Linked DNA regions of Drosophila melanogaster. The protein of the gene in region 1 interacts with the protein of each later gene in a pairwise test. Each region holds a gene or a part of one and is shown in the gene's direction. Other genes may lie near its edges. The genes, in order: CG5359, PIG-S, Rabex-5 and stac.

Region 1 (3,598 bases):
AGGAAACGCGATGAGGAACTGACTATAAGGCAACAGGAACTGCAACTGGAGTATCGGCATGCCCAGCTGAAGGAAGAGCTCAATCTGCGCTTGTCCTGCAACAGTGAGTGTTATAGTTTCCTCTCAAAACTTTGATATAATATTTAATTCCATCATTGCAGAACTGGACAAAAGCTCTGCCGATGTGGCCGCCGAGGGAGCAATTCTCAACGAGATGCTGGAAATTGTCGCCAAGCGAGCCGCCCTACGACCCACAGCCTCCCAGCTCGACCTCACGGCAGCGGGATCAGCATCCACGTCCGCCGAGGCAACGGGCATTAAGCTGACGGGACAACCGCATGACCACGAAGAATCGATCGTGAGTAAATAGGACCTATATGTTTAAATTTGAAATTGACAACACCACTTGTTTCAGATTTGAATAGCCAACTTTCCCTGGAGATTGCTGGTCTGCGAAGTGGTGCATGGACTGTTGAGCCTAAATACTTAAGATGAAACAAGGGAACAGGGGAGAGCGTACCAAAAAGGCAGCTGAATATACAGAATTAACAATACTAAAACCCGTGAGCTGTAACCGAAACGAGCAACTAACTATTCAAAGTGGATAAGCTGGCTAAGAACAATTTCAATATTTATATAAGTAGAGAGCCTAACTAATATGGGAGAAGCGCGCAAGGTTAATGTAAAAACAGGCAGAGATGAAATCAAAACCAAAAAACTAATTTCGCAATTTAAAAGTAGGGATTACGAATGTTTTTGCGAATACCTTTAGTTTCGTATTCGACCTAATTGTACGTTTTGTTAGTCGTTGCCACTGAAATCTGTCTGATTTTTGTATGTCCTATGCAATATGTTGTGTTTTTATTTAATGTAATGTAGTGAGCGTGTGCAAAGGGTATGTGATTTTGAGCAAATGTAAATGGTGTATTTGAGTTTTCTTAGGTTATTTTCACTTAGCGATTGTTTGTCGATTTCTATGTAAACCGTTTGAGTGTATTATTATTTATTTGACAAAGCACCTTCCGCACATCCTCCCGATCAGCACACCCATGTATGTATTATGTCATTTGCCCCCAATCGAAATCAAAGTGAACACAAAGAGATGCACACAAATATTTTCTAAATGCGAGAGCCTACACATAGCGATGTAAGCGAGAAAGCAACCATTAACTGTATACTAACGAAATCATTTAAATTATTGCGTAACTTTATTTATAACCTGCATATATAAAAACATATTTATCGAATTTATTATGTAACTTTTCGATTTATTTTGAATTGAATAAAGATTTTATGAAACCTAAGGACGATTTTATAGTTCTACTTTATCGTGAAGTTTTCCTTAAATGTCCTTAAAGAAATGTTCTTTAATGGGGAAATTCCGCCATCGACGCTAACTTGACGCACATAAAATATTGGCGCGTATTATAAATTTAAATTATCCAGAAAATGAAAGAGGTGCCACACTTCGTTGTTATAAAGTGGCCACACCAAATAAGTTCGGTTATTCGTGGTGACTGACAATTAGGGATTGGCGGGAAAGCCATTTTACCATCTGGTAACACTAGCAATAAGTAAACAAACATAGCAACCAAGATTTTCTTGGTGCTTTCTTAAACACTTTGAAAGGGAATTACGCTGAATTTGACAAAAGATGGCTGACAAACAGTCCACTGAGGAAACAACCAAATCCGTCCAGACTTTAACAGTGCCCAACCCAGCGGATAGGAAGTCGGAAAAGTCGGCGTCAGGAAGTCTGCACTCCGGCTCAGCCGATGGTTTGGAAAATCAAGAAAAGTCGGAAAAGCCCGGCGACCAGCCCACCGCCTATAGCATGCGACCGGCCTTTGGGGAGATGTTTCCCCTGCCCACCATCAAGAGCATAATGAACAACGTTATGGCCGAGAAACTCAAAGGTTAGTGTGAAAATCCATAAATATACTGCGCGTTGCCTAGCAACTTCACTATTTGAAGACAAAACCTATGACAAGGACGTCGCCAAGAAGTGGACCAGTGAGATCGCCGACGAGGTGAACCAGCAGATAGCCAGCAGCTCCCTGGTGAAGCGGTACAAGCACGTGGTCCAGGTGATGCTAGGCCAGGAGCTGGGTGCGGGGGCCACTTACAACTCGCGCTGCTGCTGGGATTGCGACTGCGACACTTCCGTCTCCGAGGTCTTCAGCAACACCAGTCTCTTTTGCGTCTGTACAGTGTTTGGAACGTATCAGTACTAAAACCGATTTCCCACAGAACTAGTTAGACTAAGGATTATACTTTAATGGGGTGAGCTTACATTAAATGGGTTGTCACGAGATGTGTTTTCTAAAAATATTATATAGATAAAATATTCAACAAATGTTGTTTAATTTAATGATAATTTTAAGTATGAAGTTTCTTTACTTCCATTCAAATTTCATCTGCCCAGAGTCTCGTGACACCCCCGTATATTTACATTTTAATCTAAGCAATGCTAACATCTCGTATTAGTAGGCACCGGGAACAAAGGGTTCATCACTTTCGATAGTCGACCTTCGTCGTGCTTCATTGGATGCGTACGTTCAGCGGATTCAGTATGCGGCCCGACATCACAGCCACGTCCAAGTCGCGATCGACGATGAAAAACAGAAACGGATGATTCACAGAGATCTGAATGGGCTTCGATTGGGCGCCGTAGTTGCCTAGAGAGTAAAAGGAAGTGTTTATTGCACTTTGTCTCGTGTTGCAGAGGCTGCAACTGTTGCAACACCATTAGGTTGGGCATTCGCAATGCGTTGCGGCTCAATGCCTCCACTCCATTCCATTCAGGTGTGCTGCAATGCGAGACACTTACGCTTCAGCTGATTGATGGGATGCGTACGGATGGTGACGTCTATGGATTGCTCAATGTGTCGCACGTAGACGCCCTTCTCCTCAGTCATGGGCCTGAAATCGGCGCGATTTGGTTCGAATACGTCGCAGCTGCAACGAAAGTAAAATGAAGCCAGGAACTGGAGCTATTACACCCATGCTTACATTCCCATCTGCAACAGAGAGCACAAAAACCAAAGACACCTCAATAAAAACACAAAAATGCACTCTACAAATGAATACATACATTCTGCAAGTCGTTTGTCAAAAACATGGTGCCGTGCAGCTTGAAATCTGGAATGATGGCTTGCACCCAGCGTGGCTTCAACTGCTTCCGCATCAGTCGAAGGGTTGGTCCCAGTTTCAAGGAGGCGGCGGCTGCAACAATATCCGTGTGGTAGTCGGGCAACAGGATCATTAGGTTGTACTCCGGTGTGTCCAATTCCAACTCCAGCACGCTCATCTTCAGGTGCTCAAAGTACTTGTAGTACAGCACTGCGTTATATACCTTGAAGGTGGTGTGCACCACCTGTTGATTGCCCAAGTAGAATACGTGGCTGATCACATCCGTGTTATAGTTGGACTTTCCCTCGGCCGCCTCTCCGATATAGTGTGGCTCAAAATCATTCGTGATGGGTGCAAAGGCAGCGGGCACTGGCGGCGGAAAGTGCAGCGGGTGGTGCGGGACATGCGTGTGCGGATTGAAGAGGGTCAGAAAGAGATTTGCATCCAGATCCTTGTATGCTGGTAT
Region 2 (6,871 bases), about 15 Mb from region 1:
TCGTAGGTCACATGCGGCGGATAATCGGAGAGTATGTCCAGGGCTGTGCGTCCGTTTCCATCGGTGGCGTGTACGTAGATACCGGCCTTAAGCAGAGTGACCACAACGGACTTTTTGCCACAGAGAGCCGCCTCGTGGAGAGCGCTTCCAGCGTTGGTGAGTATGTTGACATCGACGCCGGCCGCCAGCAGTGTTTCCACCACCTTCTTGTGCCCATTCCTGCTGGCCAGGTGCAGGCAGGTGTGCGTGAATATGTGCTTTATGGGCATGCAGCCCAGCAGCTCTTCATTGTCATCTTCCAAACGCTTATACGGCAATATGAGGTCGGGATAAACACGGAGCAAGGTCTGAACCACCTGAAGGCGTCCGAATTGCGCTGCCAAATCCAGAGCCGTTTGAAAGCTATTGTTGCGTATGGCAGGATCGGCGCCATAGGACAGCAAAATGGCCACCACGGCATTGTGGCCATGTTGGGCGCCTGAGTGCAGCGGCGTCTCGTTTTCGATAGTCTGGGCATTCGGATTGGCTCCCGTAGGCGAGTGCATCAACAGCATCTTGACGATGTCCTGGTGCCCAGCCCAGGCAGCCAGAAATAAAGGTGTCGAGCCACGTATATCAGGCACATCCAACAGCGCGTTGTGGGAGAGTAGTAGCCGTACAATGTTGCTATGCCCATTTAGACAGGCGTGATGCAGCGAAGTGTAGCCATTCATGTCCTGGCAGTTGATGCTGGGACTTCGCCTAAAACTGTAAAGGAAAACCTGTAGTAAACTACCTGGAATAACAACAGTTGCTGCTGGTGACTCACCTGGACAGCGGGCCATGTCGTTTGCTCGAGTGCTCCAGCAGTTTGTCCACCGTCTTGATGTCGCCGGCTCGCGAAGCCTCCAGCAAATGCTGATCCTTGCCCATTGCTCCTCCGTATCCTCCAACACTAGGTAGCTACACAGGAGCAGAAGAACACATGTCAAGTTGTTTAGTTTAGCTTTTGCTCCGATTCCAACACAATGAGATCATCGCGAGCATACAGAATACCACAGCCCCAGCCCCACTCACACCCCCAACAAATCAGGTGGCAGCCAGGCGGAATCAGCTGTTTGGCCCTAGCACGCACAGACTGATAGCCAAATATTTTTTTTATACAAAATAGCTGTGAACATTCCACAATAGTATTTTTGTTTATAATATGGAGGGCTGAATGGTGGCTCCGCCTCTTCCAAGGTCATTCCACGGCATTGGACTGCTCCAATTGGAATTTCTTTGTCACCAGCTAGGTTTTATCTTCAAGTTTTAATTTACCGGCTATGTCCACGTCCGTTTCGAAAGTTTACAGCCATAAACGAATAACTATATTTGCCACCGCGATAAGCAATCAACAAAGCTGTGATCTAAACTTTATTTACGTGGAGCCGATCGAGCAATTGTTCGTTACTAATTGGCTAGGGATGGAGGCGTGAGGCGACGACGAAACACACGACACTCACGTACAATCAGTGATGATCAGTATAAAATGAAAGTGTGATTAGTGAGTTGAATGCTAATGCTGAATGCCTTCAATATATTATTATATTATATATTATTACTTATATACGCCCTTTATTGTTTACAATATAATGCCAAAAGTTTTTAGCTACTAAACTTTAGCTAGGTATTTGATACTGCGTGGAATAAGCTAACTACCCAACACTTGCACAGAACAACCGATATTTCCGAGCTACCATCTCTAGCTGCACAAGCCAATTTTTTTATTTTCCCTGGCAAAAATTCACGTTTTTAACCGAAAATTTGACTCACAGCATCATGGAAACCTCGAGCTCCAGTCCAGTAAAGCCCAGGAGAAAAGACAAGGACGAAGGTAAGTGGAAACAGTGAGAAATCTGCCCCAAAACGATAAAGCGAGGTGTGCCGGCACATCGGTGCCTTTGATTTTGCCTTTGCCTTTGATAACGCGTGTGTGAGTGCTGGTGTGCGTAAAAAATAGCCAAATTAAAGTTTAAGGTATGCCCCTGTTTGCCTCGCTTAATGCAAACCCATTCACTATGTTGCCCTTGCAGATGGTCGTGCAGAGCAGGAGGATTCCGCAGATCAGGTGGGCGAGCCGCACAGGAAGCTTTTGCGCCTGGGCGACATCCTTGAAACGAACGAAGTGCTCCTGAACGAGGCGTATCAGCAACCGGAACTTACCAAGTGGCTCCAAACAGCCTGGACGGAGGAGAAGAGCCAAGGGACCAAGGAGACGCAAACCGGTGCTCAGGTCTTCTCGGATCCCTTTCAAATCTGCCTTCTGCCCGGCATGCTGGAGAAGGGCCAAAGCCAGGCGCTGGTCGCCGAGATCATCCAGAAGGTGCAGTGGTCGCGCAAACAGATGGATTTGTATGAGTTCTACCAGAGCGCCGACCTCTCCAACATGCCCGCTTGCCGACTGTTGACCAACTTCCTGCAGGTGCTGCGCAAACAAGTGCGTCCCTGGCTGGAGAAGGTTACCAACCTCAAGCTGGACTATGTGTCCGCCTCCTGCAGCATGTACACCTGCGGCGACTATCTGCTCGTGCACGACGATCTGCTTAAGGACCGACAAGTGGCCTTCATTTACTATCTATCGCCTTGGGAAGGAGCGGAGGAATGGACGGATGAGCAGGGCGGATGCCTAGAGATCTTCGGTAGCGACGATCAGTGCTTTCCACAGTTTCCAGTGCAGCGAAAGATCGCCCCCAAAGACAACCAGTTTGCCTTCTTCAAGGTGGGCTCGCGCTCCTTCCACCAAGTAGGCGAGGTTACTACATTCGACTACCCGCGTCTTACCATAAACGGATGGTTCCACGGCGATACCAATGAGGCCTTCGTGGCCGACTCCCTGCGCGCCTTTCCCCGCCTGAATTACCTGCAACCTGATGGCCTTAATAGGCCACCGCTTGGCCTGTTTCTAAACAACGTGTATCTAAAGGGGGCCACCCGCCGGAGCATCCAAAAGCGGATCGAAGAAAACTCCGAGATTTGTTTATACGAGTTCTTCAAGCGAGAGAAATTCGAATTGGCCCGGTCGCAGCTGTTGGCCGATTCGGATACCTTGAAGTGGCGAAGACAGGGACCCGCAAACGCACACAACTATGAAGTGCTGGATTTGACAACAGCCAGAGGCACCATACTGGAACTACTGCAACTGTTCCGTAGCCACGCCATGTTTGATTTGCTGCGAGATTTCACCGATCTGGATTTGGCAGGCACCGATGCCGAAAGTCCAACATGCAGCGTGGAACTGCAGCGCTGGTCCCACGGCAACTACACAGTGCTGGGCGACGGTTTGACCAGCGAGGAGAACACTTTGGACCTGGTTTACTACCTGAACGCGGCAGAAGGAGCAGCGGTGATCACATACCTCGCACCCGACGCCGAAATGCCAACAGCAAAAGCACCGACGGACGGAAGGCGATCGGACTACGATGACGAGGAAGAGGACGATTCCGTTCTGCTTACTATCACGCCGGTGGACAACGCCCTGAACATAGTATACCGGTGCGAGGGCACCACCAAGTTCACCAAATACGTGTCGCGCAACACGCCCCTTGAAAAGGGACCTGTTTTTGTTATTTCGTGCAGCTACAAGGAGTAGCATGTGATCCTGTTTCACAACATGCGCACAATTACTCGTCAAGGACTATTAACATTCATACCGTTCTCCTGTACAGAAACTAATTTACATAATAAACTTTATAAAACACAAATCAAAATATTATAGTTTTTTGTCGAAGTAATAAAGTGTGAACCCAAAGAACGCTTACGACCGCGATAAATCAGGAACTAATCAAACACTTCTCTTTAACTTTACAGATAAGTTCCGGATCGGGGCTACACTAGCATTTATCGTGGTCATCATTGGAATTGGCGTGCCCATGTGGTGGCGCACCACCACAGTCTACAGGTGAGTCAACCATGTCTGGCGGCGTTTTTCCAATTATACCTAAATGTTGCAATCGCAGAGTCAATTTGCCCTCGACGGAAATTTTGAGTCTGAGTAAAATTCCGATCAAAACGGCTGTGCAGGTGGCCATCTACACACAACAGACCAGTCGTGGCCAGTTGCTCATCGCCGAACTGCAGAACGCCTTCAGCGACAATGGTAGGTGCAAATTCATTATCCATTCATATTTCTAAACGGCATGCATTTCCCATTAGAAATATGGTCTGTGGAATTCAAGCAGCTATCTCCTACGCCAATGACCCAGGAAGCACACACGCCAGCTGCTCTGGAGAAGCTGTTGCTGGAGAACCATGTCCAGAGCGTTGGCGACTTCATGTTCATCGAGTGGCCCAAACTGCAGGAGGAGCTGCTACTAACCACCGAAAGATCGGCACTGATGCGAAGTGATACACGTGAGTCTATTGCAATGATACGGAAACACTTGTTGGCTTTTTATGTCCGAAGTTTTTAAGGTCCTCGATAGTATAGTGGTTAGTATCCCCGCCTGTCACGCGGGAGACCGGGGTTCAATTCCCCGTCTGGGAGAAATGAGATTTTCATTTTTTTTTTTTTTTCAAATCTTTTATTGTCTGTTACTTCACCTTCTATTATTGAAATAATTCTAAAAGTAGAAGTATAGCGCATAATTTATTATTTACATGATAATGCGGTTTTAAAAAGAAATATATATTTTATCGGTCTCCCCGACGGGGAATTGAACCCCGGTCTCCCGCGTGACAGGCGGGGATACTAACCACTATACTATCGAGGATTACGAATGCTTTCGAATACTTTTAATGCCCAATGAAACCCTTTCCTTAAAATTTCAAGGACTAAGCTAAAATTACTCTAGTAAATTAAAGATTAGTTAGCTAAACTAATAATGCTGTTTTAACACCTCCTAGCTTCCAACAAAATCGCCCAGCTCCTGCACGCCAAGATCCTGCAGACGTATCGCATAAATCAAATTTTAAGTACCGATGAGCGGATGGGCGCCAAGTCGGAAGCTCCGCAACCAGCCTACGATGTGATTGTCTCTGTCCTGAATCCGAAACCGAGACTCACCCATGCCAAGTGGAACATAGCAATGGCTGTGAAGAGTAAGTATTGAAAAACCACAAAAAGTCTTCACTTACTTATGCCAATTTACATTTTCAATAGCTTACATTGAGCCCTGGTTGGCTAAGGTGTCCGGTGTTTCCAATTACACGGTGCGATCGCAGTGGAAGTACCGGGTGGCCATCGAGGCTGATCTCAAGCAGGTGCGCGACCAGAGCAAATTGGGGCGACACTACGCCCTCCAGGAAACCGCTCTGCCTCATCTGCTGACATCGATTGCCCAGAATCTAAGCGCCAGCACCACCGACAAGCCGGCCATCAACCTGGTGGTGTACATTCCACCGTGCCACATCGCTCCGCTTCACATCTACAACAGCAAGGATCAGCGGCTGACGCGGAACGACGTGGATGCCTTCATTTCGCCACCCTGGGGTGGCTTCATCATTGCTAATCCGCCAGAGCATGTGTGCCTTGCGGCCATGAGCGATCAGGAGGCAGTTCCCTACCATGTCAGCACCACGGACAACATGCAGGTGATGCTGGACCAGCTGCACAAGCTGCTCGACATCAGCAGTGAGCTTCAGATGGAGGGCGTTAAGGTGGTGGATATCGAGCAACTGGAGCCACGTCGCTGGGAGTATGAAGCATACCTAAGACGCAGTGCCATTCGACACATATCCACAGCAAGCAGCACGCTCCAGAGCCTCATCAAACTGTTGGGTACGTTTTTAAAGATACCAATGAAGGATGTTTAGTCAACATTTTTATTATTCCTATTTCTGATATTATACAAAACTCAGGGCTCTTCGACAATTAAAAATGAACTATTTGCAATTTCCGCTTTATAATTAAGTAGCTTTTAAAATGGTTGACGCTATTTTTATTGAATCTGTACTGCTTGAGAAGTTTAATAACCACCTTAATTGGACAATATTATTTAATAATCGCTTCCTCCTCTCGTTTAGATCAAATCAGCTACATTGTGATAGACGACGAGGTGGGTGCCGCCATTACAAATTCCTATGCCGACATCTTGGCTGCCAAGGCTGCTCTTTTGGAGCACCGACTGGCGGACGCTTCGGTGCTGGCCAAGCGTGCGTTCGTGGCCTCGGAGCGCGGATTCTTTGACGCCAGCCTGCTGGCGCAGTTGTACTTCCCGGACGAGCAGAAGTACGCCATCTACATTCCACTCTTCTTGCCCATCATGGTGCCTGTACTGAGTTCCTTCAACATGCTGCGTGGTGTGCTGCAGGCCAGACGGAAGGAGAAGCAGTCGTAAACGAACCATAACCAAATAGTATCATCCCTCATTAAAACAATATTTTCTTTATAAGCTGTTACTGGTGCGATTTATTGGTTCACTTCGGTTTTACGTAGAACATGTCATCGTCAGGGCCTCGCGGTCGATTAGATTTGCCAGTTCTATAGTATTCCAGCATATTCAAACTGTAGACTGCCGCGCATAACAAGTAGGTAGAAATTATTCGTGCCAACATTTTGGTCTATGAGATCTTAAAGAAACCTGGTGGAAATGGATTTAAAACTCAAAAATTTTGATCTGTCATAGAGAGTTGAATGCTTTGAAAACAAGTCCACGTGCCACTAATCTTTCCCAAAGTTTTCAACGTTGGGAGTGCTGTATTTTGATGCCTTGGCTGCTGGCGGACCAGCACGGTCCGCTCAGCGTGTGAACGGCGCGTATAGGTCAGGTTCAGCGGCGAGATCGCTGCCGGATGAATGTCAGACGTGGCAGGAGGCCAGCCAGACACGCAGTCGGTGGGTGAGTCATATATTGCCAATAAGTCTTGTTTCCGACTGATTTCAAAATATCACTTACCGATTATAATTACTTGC
Region 3 (4,796 bases), on another chromosome or scaffold:
CGAGCGGCGCACATTGCTGTCCTGGACTCGGAGTTGTTTATTGAGAAGTTTATGCTGATCGCAGGACTGAAGTACTTCAGTTAACCAGGGCACTGAAGAAATGTCTGAAATGTCTTTAGAAGAGTCCTAGCGAATTAATCAAGTACTAAACACAGTCGGAAGATTCAACTACCAATTTGATAAAATTAAAAAAAAAAAAGATTATTTTCTTATAAGTATTTAATTACAGCATGTTTGTATAGTTTAAAAGTCATATGTTTCATTTTGTTTCTTCGTTTTGTCAAGAGTTTTGTTTGTATAACTGTATATATGGAAAGTTAAGACATATTCTTTTTGAAACTTACAATTTCTAACTTGCTGTACTTTCTGTTTTATACGCCGAACTTTTGAATACACAGGGTACTCATACATAATTCGAAGACAAAATAAGAACCACAGTCATCAGATCAGCCAAATAATTCCAATTGATCAGCGATTGGAACAAGGAATTTATTGAAGCAAATCGTTAGACTTGAATTTTTTACAAATGCAACTCTTTTGTAGCGAATTGAATACACTCAGATACGAACAAATCAAAAACCAAAGAATGTTTAATCAAAAACCTATAACCAAAACCAAAGTCAGCATAATGTTGAAACACACGCGTTAAAGATAATTACATTGTTAGCTGTAAGAGTTGAACGCATACAAAGCAAAAACAAAAGCCAAAGACATCATAAGTAGTGTTAAATTCCAGTTCAAAACTATACACGAGACTTTTTCGAAACGGTTGAATTGCAAATGGGAAGTGAACGAAAACAAGAACGATCATGTTAAGTATACGTAAACTATCGATAGTAGTTGAGCACGGCAAGGCAAGGTTGCATTTTGATGACAGTAGCGAAATAGTATTAGCAATTTTTAAGACTAATCAAAACACAAACAGAGACAAAATGGTTTTTTCCAAATCTTTTTACTGCTAGACGAGAGAACAAATTTAGAAGAACTAGAGATAAAGTAGAGGTAGTGTTGAACTAGTCGAGTTGTTAGTAGTTGAGTGCATTATTGGATCGTCAATTACGAGGAGAGCTGGACGATGCAAAGGTTTGTTTGCAGATTTAAACTTTTCATTGGGGAACAAGATCGGTAACGTAGCGTAGAGCAGTTAGGACAAAAAACTTTGCAAATTTATAGTCTAGTCTAAGCCATAACTCTGTGTTTTCTGAGCTTTTTCCAATTGCTGTTGTGAACTACTACCATTAGCGACCCTTCCAGAAATGCATTCTTTTTACGTGTATAACCGTCCTAAATGTTACTACTTTATCAACTTGCTATGTCGATATACGTGTGTAACTGGTTTTAAAAATGTTTGTGTGCATCTAAGAATTGAATGTGTGTTGAAATGTTCCCTAGGACACCACGATTTTACTACATGTATTCGATCTAATTGTGCAAATTTCCCTAAGTTGCAGTTTAAATATTTTCTTTACGAATAAAATATGCTAAAATCCAATTTTAGTGGAACATAACTGAATAGTGTTTTAATTGTATGTGGGTTTACAGGTCATATGCGAACTACGTTCTTTTTTATCAAAATTATATTCAAAAGAGGGAAATCCCCCTTGTACGAAGCGAACTAGTTCCATTCGATGGGCGGCTACTTAAAGCCGGCGAACCAGCTCATCTCTAACTTTCTGAGCGATGTCCCACCACTGGATAAAAGACCATCTGGCAACGCTGGCAGCAGTAGAATTATTTATCTCCACAATTCAGTCACGAAAACAATAAGCAACAAAGGGACTCCCACAGATAAGGGAGCTGTATTTTTATAGCCACACCTCCGAGATGTCAACGGCGGCGCGACCTCCGTCTTTGCGGCTGGGCCAGCAGGACCTCAAGTGCCGTTCAGGATGCGGGTTTTACGGAACCCCCCAAAACGAAGGATTGTGCTCGATGTGCTTCCGAGAAAAGTTTAATGATAAGCAGCGGAAGTTGAAGCGTAAGTTGAAGCGTAGGTCCCCAGACAATGCTTGCATATAACTCCAAAGCCGATGAGCGTTGAGTCATGAAGTGGTTCTTTACAGAGACGGGTGGCGAGACGGGTCCTGGATCCTCTTCCTCGGTCGCCACCTTGGATCGCCGATCGCCACAGCATGCGCACCTCCAGGGAAAAGTGGAGCAGCAGGTCAGGAAGCCGTCGGACAAGGAGCAGGACAACTTGGGAACCCTGCAAAAGAAAAAGTTTACCGCTGTGCTGCAAAAAACTCTGCAGGCGGGAGCCCAAAAAAGTAATATTGCATAGCCACACTGCCTTTAAATGCTTATACTTGGATATTCCTTAGTTACCCAACAGCGTGGTCATGTGCCGGATCCCACGGAGGGCCAGTTCCTACTGCAATTGCGGCAACTTCGCATTCCCGACGATGGCAAGCGGAAACTCAAGCTTGAAATCCAGCGTTTGGACAGCGACATCCGCAAGTATATGAACGGAAATGGCGGCAAAAACATCAACGAACTATCAGATTTGGTTCAAAACGCCTACACCAAAGTCTCAGACATTGTGCACAACGATCCCAGCTTCGAGATAGCCACCAACGAGGATCGCGATAGTGCCATTGACTTCTTTGAGAAAGTGGTGATGACGCAGAACCACAAGTGAGTCAAGCGGAACGTTGATATCAGAGGAGTACATATTTTTATCTGGGAAACTCTTTTTTTTTTTTTGCAGATTTCTCTTCAGTCCCTATTTCACTACCGATGAGGACAGTGACGTGAAGGTGCAGAAGCGGATACGCCAGCTGAGCTGGATTACGGCCAAGCATCTGGACTGCAGCATCGACGAGGTCAACTCGGAGGCCAGGGATCTGGTTTACAATGCTATATCCGAGCTGGTGGGCATAGATTCGTACTATTCGCCGCAGGAGAAGCTGCAGTGCACTTGGCGCTGCTGTAGGCACATCTTTGAGCTTCTGAAGCGGGCAACTGGAGGACCCGCCAGTGCGGATGACTTCCTACCCGCCCTAATATTCGTCGTGCTTAAGGCAAATCCAGTGCGACTGCACAGCAACATCAACTTCGTTACGCGCTTCACAAACGCTTCGCGGCTGATGAGCGGCGAGAGTGGCTACTACTTTACCAATCTGTGCTCCGCCATCGCCTTCATAGAGAATCTGAATGGCGAGAGTCTGGGCGTCAGCAGCGAGGAGTTCGAGGCTCTGATGTCCGGACAGCAGCCCTACAGCACGCCCTGGGAAAGTGCCCTGTTGGCCTGCGAGAGCCTTCACCTGATATCCGAGAACATGAAGCGAATGGAGATGCTGCAGAAAAGGAACGCCCTGATAAGCTCTGGAATAACTTCATTTGAAAAAGAGCTTATCGATTTCCAAAGAGAGGTGACGGAACGAGTAGACACCGTGATTGCCAAGGCCCCACTCAACCTGCTGCCCATCAAAACACCCGCTTTTCTGATTGGTCAAGCCAGGGCGCACCTTCTCAACGAAAGCGAGGCTGGTCATTATCAAGCGAATATGCTGCACGGCGGCTCATTGACCTCCCAGTCGCTGACAGCAGCCGGTGGGTTGGTAAAGCCCGCAGCGGCGTCTAAAGAATCTGGATTGTCCCTTAAGGATACCAGCATGAGTTCGATGGGCCGTCTGTCGCCACTTCAGCAGAACGTTCAGCCAGCCGATCACCTCTTCGCCTCTCCAATCTTTAACTACACCGCGTTTGATGCCGTCTCGCTCTTGGAGGAGCCTGTGCCCGATGCGAACACAGACGTACTCATGCTGGGCTCCGAGTTTCAAGGAGGCCTGACCAATATCAACTACGACTTCGACTTGTCGGATCAAAGTGGGGAAAACAGCACTGCGGACGAGTCAAAGCTGAATCTCGACGAATTCGACCCCTTGGCGCAGAAGGGCCTAGTTGCCAAGCCACCGCCGCCTCTGCCGGAGACCAGTCTGCTGGATAGCACAACGGATAGCCTTATAGATAGCGAAGTGCCCGGCACAGCTGTCCTGCTTCCATCCCCTCTGAAGCCCGAGGTGTCCAACTACCGGGGCTTCTCAAACTTCGATATTCCCAGCATCTCGTGCAACACGGGAGACTTTAGTTCTCTGGGACAGGACGGCGCGGATGCTCCCAAATAAACGTTTGTTCACTGGGTCACTGAATCCTGCAGCTGTGTGAATGTAAATAAGTTTAAGTGAAATATTGTAGTTAGCCCAACGCTTCAATTCAAATTTCTGCACATATTTATTTGTACCATATTTAACTAGCTTTACAGAAAGGACGTTTAATAAATGCAATCTAACACATACACAAGTTGTATTGTTTTTTACAATAAACGGTTAACTAAGTTTAATTTCTTTCCCAGGGGTAATTGCATGATTTTCAAAAGTCCCGCCAACTGGGCATCACTTATCCAATAATCTGGCAGCACTAGAAAAGTAACAAGAGAGATTGTTGTTTTCGAAATATCTCAATCACACACGATTTATTCTCAGTTTGCCTGCCGAACCGAACGGACGTGAGCGCTCACGAGAAATGGCTAGAACCCGAATTCAGATGCTGCTACTTGTTGTTGCGCTGACGGCGGTGATAAGTGGAGCAAGTGCCTCCAGCATACCGGAAGAGCTGCCCCACAATCCGCTCGAGCACGACCCCCTGCACCCCAGGCACTTCGACGGGGGCGAGCACAATGCCCAGTTTGACCACGAAGCCTTCTTGGGCCCGGACGAGTCCAAGAAGTTCGACAGCCTGACACCCGAGGAGAGCAGGCGGAGATTGGGCGTCATTGTGGACCGAATCGACGAGAA
Region 4 (7,630 bases), about 15 Mb from region 1:
TCATTGTCGGGTATTATTTGGAACTGAGGAATCCCGGCGTTATTTAAAATCTTACATGTGAACACACACTTCTTGCGCGGATCCTTGGGATGGGCGTAGATTCGTGTGGCCACATATCCCACGGGATATATCCAGCTCTCAGTGTGAAAATTGGGATTCACTGATATAATCTCGCCCAGTGAGTGGAGTAATACATTATTTAGGTTCATCGGAAACATGGGCTTCTTTTTCCGTACAATTGTAACATTTTTTGGCTTATCTTCGACGGGGTTCTTATGCGAAACTACAGGACTGTATTTCTTTGTGGTTTCAGCGGCGTCGTTTTTTCCATTCGAGACACTGGGTCGTCCACTGTTGGATTTCTCCAAGCCCTCGTGAAACATGAGGCGCTCTATCAAGTAAAGTCTTTGGGATCGGGTCACAGATAGTTCGGCCTGCAGACGACAGATCTCATCCGTGAGGGCGGCGTTCTCCTGAAATTGGTATTATAAAGTTAATAGATCATATAACTTCCCGTAAATGTTTTATGCTATAATGTAAACATATATGTGAGTAGGAATCTTAAGGTTTCTTGTAAATACTCTTAAGTTTGCATAACTTCGCCCTAGTTTCTAAGATCTTACCAGTAGATAACTCTTGACGGAGCGTTTTAAGCTCTCGTAGCGCCGCTTATACTTTAAATTCATTGCTTTTTAATTTATAATTTCAGCAAAAACAAGAGATACGATTTGTTTGTTGTTATTGCCGTGGGTTTGTTATGATTATCGGACTGCAGGGCTGCCATTCGTAAGTTATCGAAATACGGTATTCGGTAGATTCATTTATGTTGGTATATCTTACATACCAAATTAATAAACAAAACTGATCTAATCTAATCTTTGTTTATTTTAAAAGATATAAATAAAGTTTTAAAGGGTGCGAAAAAAACAAACGGAGACGTTAATTCGAATTGAAATTAAGGAAATTCCTAATGGATTTGCAAATCCTCTTAGCCTAATTCAATCTGGCATTCTGACCTTGCAAAGGACTTAATCATGTTAAAAAGTTACTTCCGGCGCTCGGAATTAAGGATATTTGAAAAAATAAGGTATGTTTTTAAAGTAGTTAAATAGTTGCGCACATAATTTAGCTTGGCATCTGAAAATGTGCCTTAAAGTGCGTAGTTTGACCATGGAAGCACCAGTCTGCAAAGGTAGTTACAAGAATACCAACACCTAGCCCTTCAAGAGTATATGTACATAAACAGGTGTGCGTGAGGCTTACCACCATTAGAACCATTGATGATTGGTAACTTCTTAATGGATTTTCATTCAACAATTTCAAGAGTTACAAACTATAAGTTTTTAAAATCATTAGCATGAGAGCTAGAAAAAACGTCCGATCACCATGGCAACAGGTGTCTGTCTGTATGTATCATCCCGTTCCTTCCCATTTCCCCACTTTCGCCCAATGTTAGATACTACAAACATCCATAGCTCATTATAATGTGTTTGCGATAGTGTAGGGAAGAGCGTGTGAATACCACTGAGAAAAATCTACGTCGGAGAGCAGCTTTGGCAATGAATCACATCGTTTGTTCGTTTCGGTTTCGGTGCAAATAAGCCGTTAGTATGTTTCTACACTCCGGTGACACTTGTTGGATTCCGATTTCGATTCAGTGCCTCTGAAGCTAAAAACGCAACATCACAATGGACGAGGAGCAGATGTGGAAGGGCTTCTTCTTCAAGTTGCAGGAGCTCAAAATGAATCCACCCACGGAGCATGAACACCAGTAAGTTGGATGAATAAAATACAGACTCACGCATACCTGTAGAAAACTTGAAAACTCACCGATAGACAAACATTTGTTCGCCAGACGAGCCGAAATGTGTGTTTCTATTTCTCTAGACAAATATGAACATTTTGGAGAACTGGAACTGTGTCATCAGATAAATTAAAGATTATCAAGTGAAATTAACGTGTGTGCGTGAGGAATGGCAAGTGATGTAAGGGAGTGGGGGAAGCCACAGATCGATTTTACCACCCACTCGCAACTAAAACATGACTCAGTTTTAGGGTATTTTTCACTGGGCTTTCAAATACATCTACATAAGCTTGCTCATAGTACGAGTATCCCTAATCGAAATGAAATCCCCATTAAGTGATGACTAGCCAGTGCAGATAATATTTAATGACTTTTTTCGAATTATTTACTAATTGCACTTTTTCCGCAGACTGCAAGACGGAGATGATGGATTTTTCGAAAAGTTTGGATCCCTACTGCGGCAGAAGTCCCAAATCGATGAGGGCGTCCTCAAAAGTTCACTGGCTCCCTTGGAGGAAAATGGCAGCGGCGGAGAAGAAGATTCGGACGAGAGTCCCGATGGCACTTTGCAACTCAGCCAGGATTCGGAGTGCACCAGCATCGATACCTTTGCCACCGAGAGTACACTGGCGTCCAGTTCGGACAAGGATATCAGCACTTCAGTTCTGGACTCGGCGCCAGTGATGAATGTAAGTTTTGTAATTGAGAAATCAGTGCTGTGAATCAGGTTGACAAAGCCATTAAAAGGTCACAACGAATCAGACAATCAAACTGCATTCCAACTGGTGCAACTAATAGAGCTCCAGCTTATACTAAACGTAACCTATAGTTTAATCATAAGATTACTAAATTATTTATTTAATTTAGTATCTTACATACTCCCAAATGCGTACGTTAAGAGATTTTTCATATTTATACATGTGATTCATACGAGCTCTTGTGAATTCGTAAAACTCAGTTTAAGGATGATTTATGGTTTAATCCGCCCTAATATATATATACATATATATTCATGATAGAGTATTGATAATCGCCGCTTTACGAACTCGTTTTGAATTGTTGGGTTAGTATGCACTGTAGCTTTTAGGATTCGAGTGAAAGTACATCAAGATAAAGCTCCGTCATTCAGTTTGGGTTTTACCAGGTCGACTCCCAAACTAGCTATCCACCATGGTGGGTATTGGTGAATATGGATGGCTTTTGAGCCTGGTCACATTCACGTCATGTGTAATTCCTAGGCCCGACTACCGAGGAAGTTGCGACATAGGTCAGTTTTCCAGTTTGCAGCGCGGCGTAACGATCGCCTACGAGTTAATTCAATGTTTTATCTTGTGCCAACATTTTGCTGTTCGCATGTTTGCCGTCTGGGCAGGTGTAGTTTAATTGAACAGAAACCGAAAATGAAGTCGTGTCCATAGAAACGAAACGCTTGCACAATAAACAAAAGAACTTGCCTATATAGTCGGACTGTATAAACAAACCGAATAATGTATACTGACAGCATAAACAAGCACTGCAGAACATGCAAACATTGAAGAACCCTAGAGCGGCCAATTGAAGGGAGGCGGGGAGAAAGCTTAATGTACTTTAGAAAATACATTTTTCATTACCACCTTGAGCTTTTCCTTTTTGTATCCGAAAATAGACCATTTTCTCTTAAGATTGCTTTATTATTGCTCACAAACACTTGGCCATCATCGTGTACATACGAGTATGCACAAATACACCAAGCAATCTGAATCGAATTGAGCGCATACACTTTTTATCTCATGGTCAACGTCAAGATATTTCGGATATCGCAAAGATTTCCCACACCGGACGCTATTGTACTTAGCTACAGACTCTTCTCCGAAGCGGTTGTGTCCAGTCGGTGTTCCTGAGTCCGTGGGTGTCCACGATCTGTCCACCAGCGCATCCGATCGTGCTCGATAATATGTGCGTCTATATCGAATTGTATATTTGCCAGAGAGTATTTGCCAAAAATTTCAATTTCGCTTGCACCTAGAGAAAAACATTGAAAAAGTGGAGTGATCGGTTAGTGGCTGGGTTCGATCATGAGCTACCTATCGCTACCACGTGTTCTGAGCAAGTTCGGCTCCCAAAACCACAGTTCGTCTAACCAAAGTTCGAAAACCAATAGCCTAACTAGATCCAGTACGCGCACCGGATGCGACGAAATCAGACTGCCGCGGAAGGCATCCTCCACCCAGTCGCTCAACAAACCATTCGAGCGACGGATGAGCATACTGAATCGGAATGGAAGCATTTCCAGTCGACACTTCCGTGGTGTCCACAAGCATTTACTTGATTCCCATGCCAAGGCGGTCTGCCACTCGATGACCGTAAGTAGAGAACGAAGTTTGGATGCTATATCTAGATATGGATATATCTGTAATCCATAATGAACTGATCTTAAGAATATCCGAGGGAATCGGTTCATCAGTGCCTCGGTAAACAAAAGCGATTGTATAAGTTCATTGATTTGGCATAATTGTTGAGTCACTCGAGTTAAGTGCACAGAGTATTTCAGTGCTTAAATACATATATTTATGTACTTGTTTTTTTTTTGCCAAAATCATAATTGAAAATTATGTAAAGTGTAGCTAGAAGATACCAAAAAAAAAATCAGCGAAAATGTGAACATTCTAAGAAGTTTATTGATTCGAATTTGGAGCTAAGTCAATATTTATGTTAGTGGATAGTTTATGGGAATGATAAAACATTTCACTGTAGCGAGCATCCAGTAGATACTTATATAGAATGTATCTAAGCAAACATGACCTCAGCTGGGTCTGTTTTTCCAATTTCCCTGCGAAGATTTGTTTATATTTCCGTATTCTGGAATTTGTCGATATTTACTTAGGCTTTGACCTTTAGAGAAGTGACTTATTTCTATTTTTGCTCAAAGAAATTAAAATACTTCACCGATTAGATGGTTTATAAATGTCGCCTGCGTTTTGGGATTAAACTAATTGTTGCCTTTGCTTTTGCAGGTCACAGATCTCTATGAAGAGATATTATTTGAAATTTTCAACAACATTGGCTGTGAAAACAACGAAGAGTGCACAAACAGTTTGGTCGAATTCGTGCAGGATGCATTCAAAATTCCGAACGCCACTCATGAGGAAATTTATGAGGCGGCGCGACTGAAAGAACCGCCCAATGTTAGACTAAATGTCGAGATTATAAAGGCCGAGAACCTCATGTCCAAGGACTCAAACGGCTTGTCCGATCCGTTTGTTACCCTGTACTTGGAATCGAATGGCTCCCATCGATACAACTCATCGGTCAAGCCTGCCACATTGAATCCCATATGGGAGGAGCACTTTTCACTGTGAGTCTTGATTATTTCGTATAAAAACTGATATATATTTGTTAATGTTTATTTTCTTGCTAGGCCAATTACTGAAAATGCTCGAGACGAAGTTCTTATCGTTGAAGTGTGGTAAGTGTGACTTTGTTTGCATATTGAACTCATATAACGCACTCATAAAACCTACGTTATCTGGCTGATAACGTTTCTTGAACTCTAAATTGCACTTATCGCGGATCAATAGGTTTATGGTCTGAAACTAACTAACTCGAAGGTATGGCATCTTAAAAACTCATCATTCTTTTTGAAATATGTTTGAGTAGTTAAAGTAAAGTACGTTGTGTTAGTTTTATAACATTAGAATTTCATGCTAGAATCCCATTTATCTATTTTAACGCATGATTCCCATTTAATATTTTACCTTTTTTCAGGGACTTTGATGCTGCGGAAACCGTCAAGGAAAAAGTCAACAAAATCCTGGATGTTAAGGGTGTGAAAGGACTTAGCAAGCTGATGAAGGAAATTGCTGTAACAGCTTCCTCGGGAAAACATGATAATGAACTGATTGGGAGAGCTGCAATTACATTGAAGGTAGGAAAAGATCTAATATTATCAAAGATCTTAACACTAAAAAAAAAACACACATATCCTTCAGTCTATTCCCGTTTCCGGCCTCACCGTATGGTATAACCTGGAAAAGGGAAGCAAGGGACGCAGTCGAGGATCACTTCTGGTTAATCTGGCCTTGAGTGCGGAGAAGAACAAAAGTGTCGCCGTTCAGGAGCACAAGAACCTACTGAAACTGCTCCTGATGTACGAGCTGGAAACCTCGCAGGTGGCCAACTACTGGTGGAGCGGCAAGTTCAGTCCCAATGCCGAACTCATTCGATCCCAGCATGCTGCCCAGAGTGGGCTAACTCCTTTCGACTGTGCGCTCAGCCAGTGGCACGCGTACAGCACCATCCATGAGACGCACAAACTCAATTTCACACTATTCAATTCAATTCTGGACGTGGTGGTGCCAGTGATTACTTACATGCAGAACGACTCCGAGGATGTGAAAACATTCTGGGATGGCGTGAAACGACTGCTTCCCTCGTGCTTCGCAGTGCTAAGGAAACTAAGATCCAAAAACACCAGTGATAAAAACATAATTAGAGCTCTGAACGAAGTTCTGGATATTCTAAAGAAGATTAAGGAGCTGGAAGTGCCGGAGAGTGTAGACATATTCCCCAAATCGGTGTATGGTTGGCTACACACAAACGACACTGATGAAACGTGCAATATTGATACTGCCATTGAGGATGCTATCAACACGGGGACAAGGGAATGGCTGGAGCACATAGTGGAGGGCAGCAGGCAATCTAAGAACACCGAAACCGATGACGAAAAGCTGCAGTACGTCATTAAACTGATACAAATGGTGCGGTCTGACCTGCAACGTGCAATGGAATACTTCGATAAAATCTTTTACCAGTAAGTTTTACAATTGTGCATCGATGAATCAATCAATCATTTATTATTTACCTTGTTCATTTCCAGCAAAATTCAGCTTAACTATTCCGCTGTACTTTATTTATTTTATGACTCCAAGCTTGCTGAAATCTGTAAATCGATTATAATAGAAGTGTGCAATAATATTAAGAGATTGGATGTGCCAGACGATCAATTCGAATATTTACCCAACCTTGAGAATGTAAATATGGGCACGACTTTGTTTGAAGTCTATTTAATACTCAAACGTTACGTTCAATTAGGTAAAGTACTGAAGTCCTCACTCTTAGCAAATCACTAATTGATTTTTCTGTTTACAGGAGAATCTCTTTGCTCCGAGCCCCTGGAACTGTCCAACTTTTACCCGTGGTTCGAGAGGGGAGTTACCCACTGGCTGGATATTTCAATAATTAAGGCATTGAGTCGCATCCAGAAAGCAATTGATTTGGATCAGCTGAAAGCGGTCGATGAAACAGTGAAATACAGCTCCTCGGCAGTGGACACACTTTCCATATTCTACCAAATCAAGATATTTTGGCAACAACTTGACTGGCCAGAGGTCGAGGGTTCCTACATCTTCGTAGCCAAAATCGTCAATGTGAGATTGAATACAAATATAGTTATGTTATCTTTACTAATTATTATAATTTTACAGGATCTTTGTCGCTGCTGCATATTTTATGCCCAACAGATGTCCCGCAGAGTTGAGAATATTTTTATTGCTGATGATAACAATAAAAATTTCAGTAAGTTCTATTGGAAACCATTTTTTATCATATATTGTTTGTATTGAATTTATTTATTTTATAGTTTTGTCGGAGGAGTGGTGCATAGCGATAAACAACATGGATTACATCCGGCAGAGCTTACCTTCATTCATAAAGGTAGAGGTTTTATTTACCTAAATCAAACAAATTTATTGAAAACAAATAATTTATTTCAGGAACTTAGCATTGATGACATTATCAAGAGATTGGGGGAGTATCGAACTAACTTAGAGGCTGAGAGATGCGCAAGCA

The links.
Region 2: the proteins of CG5359 (region 1) and PIG-S interact in a two-hybrid assay, tested with the Drosophila melanogaster proteins (one large-scale study listed by BioGRID).
Region 3: the proteins of CG5359 (region 1) and Rabex-5 interact in a two-hybrid assay, tested with the Drosophila melanogaster proteins (one large-scale study listed by BioGRID).
Region 4: the proteins of CG5359 (region 1) and stac interact in a two-hybrid assay, tested with the Drosophila melanogaster proteins (one large-scale study listed by BioGRID).

What each region holds. Positions count from the first base shown.
Region 1 is NT_033777.3:9,999,258-10,002,855, reverse strand, and holds CG5359 (uncharacterized protein), read left to right. Parts: upstream 1-1,579; 5' UTR 1,580-1,654; coding exon 1,655-1,916; intron 1,917-1,974; coding exon 1,975-2,234; 3' UTR 2,235-2,283; exon of another isoform or gene 2,284-2,350; intron 2,351-2,487; 3' UTR 2,488-2,541; coding exon of another isoform or gene 2,542-2,678; 3' UTR 2,679-2,830; coding exon of another isoform or gene 2,831-2,958; 3' UTR 2,959-3,012; coding exon of another isoform or gene 3,013-3,020; 3' UTR 3,021-3,085; downstream 3,086-3,598. Other genes in the region: Mical (molecule interacting with CasL), read left to right, coding at 3-103, 162-358, 416-421; Spn85F (serpin 85F), read right to left, coding at 2,542-2,678, 2,831-2,958, 3,013-3,020, 3,095-3,598.
Region 2 is NT_033777.3:24,912,693-24,919,563, reverse strand, and holds PIG-S (phosphatidylinositol glycan anchor biosynthesis class S), read left to right. Parts: upstream 1-1,699; 5' UTR 1,700-1,800; coding exon 1,801-1,855; intron 1,856-2,054; coding exon of another isoform or gene 2,055-3,610; exon of another isoform or gene 3,611-3,724; intron 3,725-3,828; coding exon 3,829-3,919; intron 3,920-3,977; coding exon 3,978-4,117; intron 4,118-4,173; coding exon 4,174-4,371; intron 4,372-4,432; exon of another isoform or gene 4,433-4,504; intron 4,505-4,658; exon of another isoform or gene 4,659-4,730; intron 4,731-4,863; coding exon 4,864-5,058; intron 5,059-5,119; coding exon 5,120-5,737; intron 5,738-5,878; exon of another isoform or gene 5,879-5,982; coding exon 5,983-6,296; 3' UTR 6,297-6,348; downstream 6,349-6,871. Other genes in the region: CG11168 (uncharacterized protein), read right to left, coding at 1-747, 809-912; sud1 (sudestada1), read left to right, coding at 1,801-1,855, 2,055-3,610.
Region 3 is NT_037436.4:1,294,202-1,298,997, forward strand, and holds Rabex-5 (Rabaptin-5-associated exchange factor for Rab5), read left to right. Parts: upstream 1-1,711; 5' UTR 1,712-1,824; coding exon 1,825-1,978; intron 1,979-2,063; coding exon 2,064-2,267; intron 2,268-2,321; coding exon 2,322-2,634; intron 2,635-2,707; coding exon 2,708-4,127; 3' UTR 4,128-4,296; downstream 4,297-4,796. Other genes in the region: CG32333 (uncharacterized protein), read left to right, coding at 1-84; scf (supercoiling factor), read left to right, coding at 4,525-4,796.
Region 4 is NT_033777.3:25,055,412-25,063,041, forward strand, and holds the start of stac (staccato), read left to right. Parts: upstream 1-1,607; 5' UTR 1,608-1,688; coding exon 1,689-1,771; intron 1,772-2,213; coding exon 2,214-2,493; intron 2,494-3,669; exon of another isoform or gene 3,670-3,858; coding exon of another isoform or gene 3,859-4,146; intron 4,147-4,797; coding exon 4,798-5,138; intron 5,139-5,201; coding exon 5,202-5,249; intron 5,250-5,548; coding exon 5,549-5,708; intron 5,709-5,772; coding exon 5,773-6,593; intron 6,594-6,659; coding exon 6,660-6,874; intron 6,875-6,931; coding exon 6,932-7,209; intron 7,210-7,266; coding exon 7,267-7,357; intron 7,358-7,421; coding exon 7,422-7,495; intron 7,496-7,554; coding exon 7,555-7,630. Other genes in the region: CG31111 (uncharacterized protein), read right to left, coding at 1-473, 624-686. UniProt on the Drosophila melanogaster protein: Essential for tracheal development in embryos. Functions with the GTPase Rab39 and downstream of dnd, to regulate lumen fusion between previously separate tracheal branches (anastomosis).